Ovis aries: one gene and its partner. The protein of the gene in region 2 interacts with the protein of the main gene of each other region in a biochemical or structural test. Links are inferred from orthologs where the notes say so. Each region holds a gene or a part of one and is shown on either strand. Other genes may lie near its edges.

Region 1 (4,379 bases), on a different chromosome or scaffold from region 2:
GTTCAGAAGGCCGATCCCTTTGTCTGGCAAGCCCATTAAGCATAGAGAAGACTGATTGATAACCATGCCCTTGTTACTCTGACCTCTCCATACTCATTCCAAAGTGCTCAATGGTATTTATTTTAAAAAGGAAAGTGAACTAAAATTCATGCTGACCAGGATGGAAGTCCTGTGCTAGGCACAAGCCCTTGCCAGGACAAGCCCAGGATTGGGAATCCTTGCATTCAGGTCTCCAGATACAGCTGTGTTAATCAGGGTCATGCCAGAGTCTTTAGAGAAGCCCTGTGCGACCCTGGAGCCTGTCAGTTCATAGTTTCTAAAACCTAGGTTTCTGAAGTTTTAATTAGAACAGAGACTAGCTGGGACAAAAGGCCAGAGATAAGGACTTAAGAGAGACAACATATTAAACGCCCAGCATCAGGATCTACCTACCTTTAAACACCTCTACATTTGTTCACTCACTAAAGAAACTGGACTTTGGCTTTACCTACCTTATCTCATTCACAAATCTTTCCCCTTCACCCTATACCCCATCCTCCTCAAAGAAAATGATGCTATCACCTACACAGCTGGTCAGGCAGAAGTCAAAGAGTCATTGTAGATTCCTTCCCTTTGCTAACCTCAGGTATGGAGGGAGTCCATCAGCAAGCTCTGGATTCTATCTCCAAAACAGATCTCAAACCCACCCATTCCCCTCCAAGTTCACTGACACCAACATCCTGATTAAACCATCTTTCATCAGGTCTATTGCTACTACTTCCCATCTGCCTTCCTCATTTCTATTCCTACTCCTTTTAAGCTCACAGAGGAGCAAGAGCTTCCTCCTCAAAATGGAAAATTGGATCAAATCATTCTCTAGCCCCTCACTCTCTTGCAAAACCAGGCCTCCTACCATCCTTAAGGTCTTAACTTATATGTTACCTCCTCAGAGGGCTTCCCTGACTACCCAACCTAAAAGAAAAGACACAGACACATTTTTCCCTCTCGGTCACAGCACCTGTAATGATTCACAATTTTATTTATGTGCTTATTTACTGGTTTATCTATTACAAGTAACTTTCCTGGGGCTAGAGACTGTCTTCAGCAACCCTCAACAACTACCAGTGTCTGGCACAAATGCAGACCACAATCTACTGAACGAATGGATTAACTTTTTGAGCGCCTATGTGCCAACGATAGCAACCTATTTTTGTAGATGAAGGGGTCTAAAGAAACCCAGATAGAGGAGGCCGCAAATAACAGCAAGAGAAACTGTAAGAGCCAGCCAGTCCAGGTAAGGTCACGTGCTCCACGCCCCAGATGTCACGTGATCAGCGACTGCCCCGCACATTTTCCCCAGTCTCCTCCTTGCCCCAGGCTCCTCCACGGGGTACCGCCTCCACCCTCAGGCTCCCTGCAAGGTCTCCACTGCACTTCTACCCCTCGACCCGCAACGGCCACGGCGTCCGATTACCAGAAGTCCGGGTCCTCCACGCCAGCACCGCCAACGCCATGTTTTACGTACTCCCGCTTCCGGTGTTAGAGTTGTGCTTCCGCTACCGGGAGATCTATTTCCGGGTCCTGCGTGGCAGACGAAAGAGTGGCGCGACAAGTTGCTGGTGAGCGCTGCTGGGCTGCTGGTGGGCCGGCGGCGCAGGGCCTACTTCCTGAGCCAGGGTCTGCTGGGGCTTGGTGGCCGCGGCCTTTGCCGCCGCGTGTGGACGACCTGTCCGCCGTGTGCCTGCGGGAGAGACGTGGAGCGAGCTCAGCAGGGCGTTGCTTATCCGATACCCGCATTTTGCCAGTTACCGAGGTTGACGCCTCAGACGGTAAAGAAACTGCCCGTGATGCAGGAGAACCGAGTTCGATCCCTGGGTTCGGAAGAGCCCTGGAGAAAGGAATGGCACCTACTCAAGTATTCTTGCCTGGAGAATTCCATGGACAGAGGAGCCTAGCAGGCTACACAGTTCATGGGGTCGCAAAGAGTCAGAAACGACTGACTGAGTGACTAACACTTTAACCAAGGCCTGAGCGGGGATAGGGAGGTCCCTCCCTAGTCGTTCAGCTTTATAGAGCACTTCCTGCGTGCCAGATATAGTACTAAGCTCTATAGATGAATTACTAAAAAAATTTTTTTTTACCTTCTCACATCGTTGTAAAGTAGGTAATGTGACTATCCCTGTTTTACTGAAAAAGCATGGCCGGGACAGGTTACATGGCTCATCCTGCAGTGTTAGTGAGTATGTTAAGATTGTCTTGCGCACCACCCATCAATGGCGACCCTAGATATTTCTGTAAGAGAACGGAAAGCATCCCCACAAAAACTAGGAGGTGAATGTTCATGGAAGCATTCGTAATGGTCAAAAATGGAATCAAACAGAATGTCCACCAGGTGAATGGATAGACAAAATGTGGCACATAAATGGAGTGAAGTGCTACTCAGCTATAGAAAGCAATGAAGTCCTGACACATGCTACAACATGCGTGAACCTCGAAAACATGCTAAGTCACCGGAGTTCACATACTTAGGACTCCATTTCTGTGAACTATCTAGAATACCTAGTAGATTTGTAGAGACAGGAGTAGGTTTACGGTTGCCAGGGACTCCAGGGAAGGGGAAATGGACTGACTGCCTAATGGCTATGGGATTTCTTTTTGAGATGATGAAAGTGTTCTGGAATTAGATAGTAGTGATGGTGATACAACCTTGCAAATATACTGAAAACTGCTGAATTGTGTACATTGTAAAAAGACAGAATTTTATGGTATGTGATTATCTCAGTTAAAAAAAAGAATGACTCTTGAAATCTCCATCTTACATGCAGAGATCGGTAAAGAGATAGTATTGGGTCTTGTTCCTAGCTCATTAACATTTTTTAATAGTAACCTCCACTTTGTTTATACCTCACAGGGATGTGAGGAGGGTTCCTGTTAGACTACAGACATAGCTGTTCTGAGTTCCAGATTCATCGTATTGGACCACATCCTATTTCTCTGTTTCTTCATTTCTCTGTATATCATTTATTTCCATAAAGCTTGGCCATAGAGCACGACAACTGGACTGAATTCATTGCTACAGCCTGTGTCTCATCTCTCTCTTCATTGCAGGGAATTAACCTGATTGCACATACTGATGGCTGTAAAGAAGTCATCACTCTCACTGGATTCCAGTGAGAGTGACTCTGAGGAGCTGCCAACATTTGCTTTTCTGAAGAATAAACCATCTTCAGTAAAGAGGAGGCAGCCTCAGGAGGATGAGAAGATTGTAGTGGTTGACATCTCAGATTCTGAGGCCTCCTGTCCGTCACCAAAATTGAAAGATCCACCACTTGTTCCAGAGGCCGCTGAAACTGTCATACAAACAGAGCCAGTCAGTGTGCTAAGCAGTGGAAGTGAGAATGAGGAGGAATTTATGCCCCTGGCTGAGAGGCTTATTTGTAAGTTTTTGACTCACAAACAGCTGAGCCCTGAAAAATCCAGCTCCCCATTTGAAAGGGTTTTGGATCATCAAAATAATGAAAGAGTATCACGTGACTGGCAAAAACAGCCATTTACAAAGATCCGTGATATTCCTCTCTGTGGTACCTCAGAGAGGCATGCATCAAGTAACAAGGACCCTGTGGTAGACAATCCATGCCATCAGCTGCCAGCCTACCAAACTACCTGCACCGTCCAGAGCAACAGCTTGACAATAACCAAAACAAATGCTGAGGTGCCCCTGCCTCAGAAGAGACGCAAGTATAGTCAGAAGGTCCAGAAGAGCAGCGCACAGGGATGCCAGCAGTGGGGACGAGCAAGCCAGAAGGAGAGCACCCAGAGGCAACAGGAAAGGAAGAAGAAGACAGCCCTGGTTAACAGGCTGAAAGCTCAGAGGCCAGAGGAGTGCTTAAAGCACATCATTGTGCTGCTGGATCCAGGTCCTACCGACATCTATCTTTCTCTCCTGCTGGGTAAACTGCTTTCTGGGTCCTGCTGACAGTCCCTTTCCCGTCTGTTGCAGCGCTCTTACAGATGGGAGGTGGGGGTCAGCTCCTTGGAGCCCTGCAGTCCATGGATTGTTGCTGTGTGATAGAGGCGCAGGCTGTGCCTTGCAGCCTCACGTGGAGGAGAAGGGCTGGGCCCTCTGAGGTAGGGGTTTTCTGACTGCTGTCTCTCCTCCTCCTTAAGTTTTACAAGATAAATATGCTTTTATCCTAAAGGCTATATCTCAGTCAAGGCCCTACCTGGAAAGCAGATGGCACACTCAGTATAAACTTGAGGAGGGTTTAATAAAGGGCTGTTTTTCAAGGTGTGGGCAGGGTGCAAGGAAACTACAAGGGACAGCTCCATCCCGTGTATAACAACAGCCTTTACTCAGTTTCTCCATCTGGGGTAGTGCTGCCATTTCAGATTGGTTAATG
Region 2 (3,632 bases):
AAAAGCACAGGGCACCCAAGAGGCCAGAGACTGAACCAGCTCCCCCTGAAAACACCGAGGGAGGTGTACACACTTCTGCTGTACTCCAGGATAGCGCATGGAGCACCCAGACAGGTAACGGTCAGAACCTCTGCCAGAGAGGACACCAGAGGTGATTTGTACCATTTTAAACCAAGGATCAGAAAACTTTCTGAAAGCTAGTAAGTTTCTTTGGCTTTGCCGGCCATACAGTCTCTGTCACAAACTATTTCTTAGACGATGTGTAATTGAATGGGCTGTGTTCCAGCAAAACTTCATTTACAAAAATAGGCAGCCTGCCCAAGACCATAGTTTGCTGACTCTTGTTTTAAACAATAGTCATTAAGAAAATAATCATAACCGTTGTATGAATTCTCTACATGATATATTTGGGGCCATCTGCTCTTTCATTTTCCTATTAACGTTTACATCATGCAGTTAACATGAGTTTGTGGTGGTTTTTTTTTTTCATGAACATAAAAATAATGCTACTTCTCTCATTTTCTTGGGTTCATTCCAAAGTGGGTAAGTTACAATGGGTGAGCCAATTTGGTTAGACTGCTGAGAAGGTAGAAGGCATATGCTATGTGGGTTTAGAGTCCCAGGAGACTCTTCTTGTCCTTCCTATCTGTTCCAAACACCTTTTATTCTTCTCTGTTTATTTGTTTAAAGCAACTTGCTCACCCTGCTGCCCTGGTGTATTAAACCACATGCTCAACATATATTCTTCATGCAGAACTGAAAACCAGCCTTGCGTATATAACACAGCGCAAGATCTTTGGACTCCTGAGTTCTGTTTCTAAATTTTTCTCACCTTCACTTCCTGATCTTAAATAATGTTTTTTACCTATGTGGTCAGCAAGGCCTCCCCAGTGCAGTGGTGGTAGAGCCTTAGCTCACAGAGACTGTTGTAAGGCTTCATTAATGTTGCCGAAACGTTTTGGTCTTTCACGCTTCCTTTGAGAGTATAGTGAAAGCTATGCTTGATTTCCCCCAGAACACTGCACTGCTCCCCCCAAAAACACACCTGCGAGGGTGACATGCAGCATCAGGGGCTGCATGGGTCCCCCCAGAGGTCATCTTCAGACACCAAGTTAAAGGAGAACTTCTGACCTAGAAAGATATGTGTCTGTCATTAATAACTCTTTAATAACAGCTTTATAGGGATATAGTTCACATTCTATAAAATTGACCCCTTTCAAGTGGATGGTTCAGCGACTTTATTCACAGAGTTGTGCAGCCATCCCCACCACTTAATTTTTAGAACATGTTTATCACCTCAGAAATGTGCCCCCTCCCATCACAGATACATATGGCAGGGGTGTTTTTATCACCACAAACAGTGAGGCTACCAAAAAACAATCAGTACTTTAGAGTTACACCTAATGTAGTCAGTAAAGGACCCATTTGAAATCTGAGGTCTTTGACACTAGAAGAACCTTCGGTTTCTCCTGCTAGAACTGATGCGTGTGAATGTTCTCCTTGCCAGAGGCCACCACGGACAGCCTCTCGCAGCCCCCTCCTTCCTGTCTGACTGCAACGGCGCCAAGTCCCTCCAAACCCAGGGCGGCAGAGCTGGTGCTCCAGCGAATGCAGCAGTTCAAGAGAGCAGACCCCGAGCGCTTAAAACATGCTTCTGAAGGCTGCTCGCTCGAGGCTGCACCTGAAGAAAATGTCCCAAAGGGCCCTCAAGATGTGATGGCGGTGAACGGTATGAAGGAAGCGCTGTCTTCCCAACAGGGATGATGTTGGGGGAAAGGGGTCAGGAAGGAGCCTGCCTTCTCAGCCAGGGGTGGGCCTTCTGCCCCACGCTCTGCCTTTGCCACTCTGGCCAGAGAACAGAGGGTCCCCTGGGTCATTTCTCACTTAGCTTCTTTGAGAAGGTACCACTTCCTCTTTTTTCATTTTGACTTATTACAAAAATTTTCCCATTCAAAAGAATCAGAAAAATATATTACAATGAAATCCCTATGCCCTCAACCTAGATTTAACAAACAGTGGACATTCTGCCACACCTTTTCTTGTCTCTATAGATGGACACTTCTTCCGTACCATCAGAAAGCAAGTCACAGACATCATGATGCTTCACCCCTAGACTCTCCTACATAACCGCAATTCCATAAACACACGTGGGTCCAGAACACTGCCTGCTCACATTCACATTTCCCCGGCTGCCCCAAGGACTGCTTCTGTAGCGAACTCTTCCTGAACGAGGGTTCGTCACACGCTGCTTATAGCCGTGGCTCAGTAGTGTCTCTGGTCTAGACTCTGTAACAGTCTCTTATCTTGTCCTTGTTTTTTGTGATACTGACTTCTTGAAAAATCCAGGACAGTTGTCTTTTAAAACTCCCCACTTTGTGGATCTGCTTGTTTCTGCCTGATGTCATTTAACCCTTTCCTGCAGGGAAGTGCCATCTGCTGCACATTGTACCATCCCAGGAGGCTCGTACTGTCAGTGGCGCTTTATCCCCTAAACAGCAGGAATCCTCACCCCTGGTGAAAATACACAAAAGGAAAAGAAATAGGAAGAAACCATTGACAGACCTGCAGCCAGTAAATCCATAGTTTCCCGGTATTTACTTGCAGGTTTCACCTCAGGACTACTGAGCACTGTCAGGCCCATGCAGGTGACACAGTGATGTGGCATCAGTCCTTGGTCCACGGGGCACCAAGGGGTGCAGAGGGGTCACTCAGCCAGTGCATGAGCCCAGCCCCTGCCCTGCATGTGACTGAGTTGTTTCCATCAGTCTTCTTCACATCATACCCAGTAATCAGGAGAGAGAAACCATTTCTTTGTTTAAAAAAAGTACTGGACCAAAATGAAGTGTGGTGCTTTTCTGGCCTTGTTCTCAGGGCACATCCCGCATGAGTGCCAAGGGTCTGCTCCAGCAACATCAGGTATGACAGGGCCACAACAGTGGGCACAGCTGCCTTGGGCACCATCCCAAGATTAGAATCAGTCCATCCTCTGGTCTGATGCCAAGAAAAACCAAGAGCAGCATTTGGCTCTGACCTGGAGGGGCAAGAAAAAGTCAGAGCAGTAGGAGAGGTTGAGCTTTAAAGAGGAAACCTAGGATTCCTTGCAGTAAGAGCCTTACAATCCTGGGATGCCCAGGGTTGCCACTTTAGCAGAAATGGGAAACCAAAGGCAAATTCTTCAGGGCTCTGGTGCTCAGAGAGTGGTCCTGGACCAGCAACAGTGGCCTTGCCTGGAAGTTGGCCGAAATGCAGAGTCTCAGGCTCCACGTAGCCCCCCCAGAGTGTCAGCCTCCTGACCTGCACTTTAACGAGCTTCCTGGGGGTCCTTGCGCCTGTTACAAGTTTGGGGAGTACCCTGCTTGGTGTCCAGTCTCCCTGGGCTGGGTCTGGGCTCCTCACGCCCCACCCAGCGTCCTTGCCCTGTGAGGTCCAAGGACGAGCTGGTCCTCATGGGTCCTTGTGTCTCCACAGGGTGTGGACCCGGGCTCCCCGCCACAGAAAGCGACACTGCAGTGGCCTTGGCCCTCCAGCAGGAGCTTGGGCAGGAACAGGCATCCGCACCCAACGACAGCCTGGAGGAGACGGGGTTGTTCTTTTGCCAGATCTGTCAGAAGAACCTCTCAGCCATGAACGTG

The links.
Region 1: the proteins of SLX4 (region 2) and EME1 form a complex in vitro, tested with the Homo sapiens proteins (3 studies listed by BioGRID, with this or other methods). The link is inferred for Ovis aries from reciprocal best matches to the Homo sapiens genes SLX4 and EME1.

What each region holds. Positions count from the first base shown.
Region 1 is NC_056064.1:36,034,215-36,038,593, reverse strand, and holds the start of EME1 (crossover junction endonuclease EME1), read left to right. Parts: upstream 1-1,555; 5' UTR 1,556-1,808; intron 1,809-3,087; 5' UTR 3,088-3,112; coding exon 3,113-3,896; intron 3,897-3,979; coding exon 3,980-4,107; intron 4,108-4,379. Other genes in the region: MRPL27 (large ribosomal subunit protein bL27m), read right to left, coding at 1,454-1,493. UniProt on the Homo sapiens protein: Non-catalytic subunit of the structure-specific, heterodimeric DNA endonuclease MUS81-EME1 which is involved in the maintenance of genome stability. In the complex, EME1 is required for DNA cleavage, participating in DNA recognition and bending.
Region 2 is NC_056077.1:3,523,088-3,526,719, reverse strand, and holds part of SLX4 (structure-specific endonuclease subunit SLX4), read left to right. Parts: coding exon 1-114; intron 115-1,507; coding exon 1,508-1,729; intron 1,730-3,468; coding exon 3,469-3,632. UniProt on the Homo sapiens protein: Regulatory subunit that interacts with and increases the activity of different structure-specific endonucleases.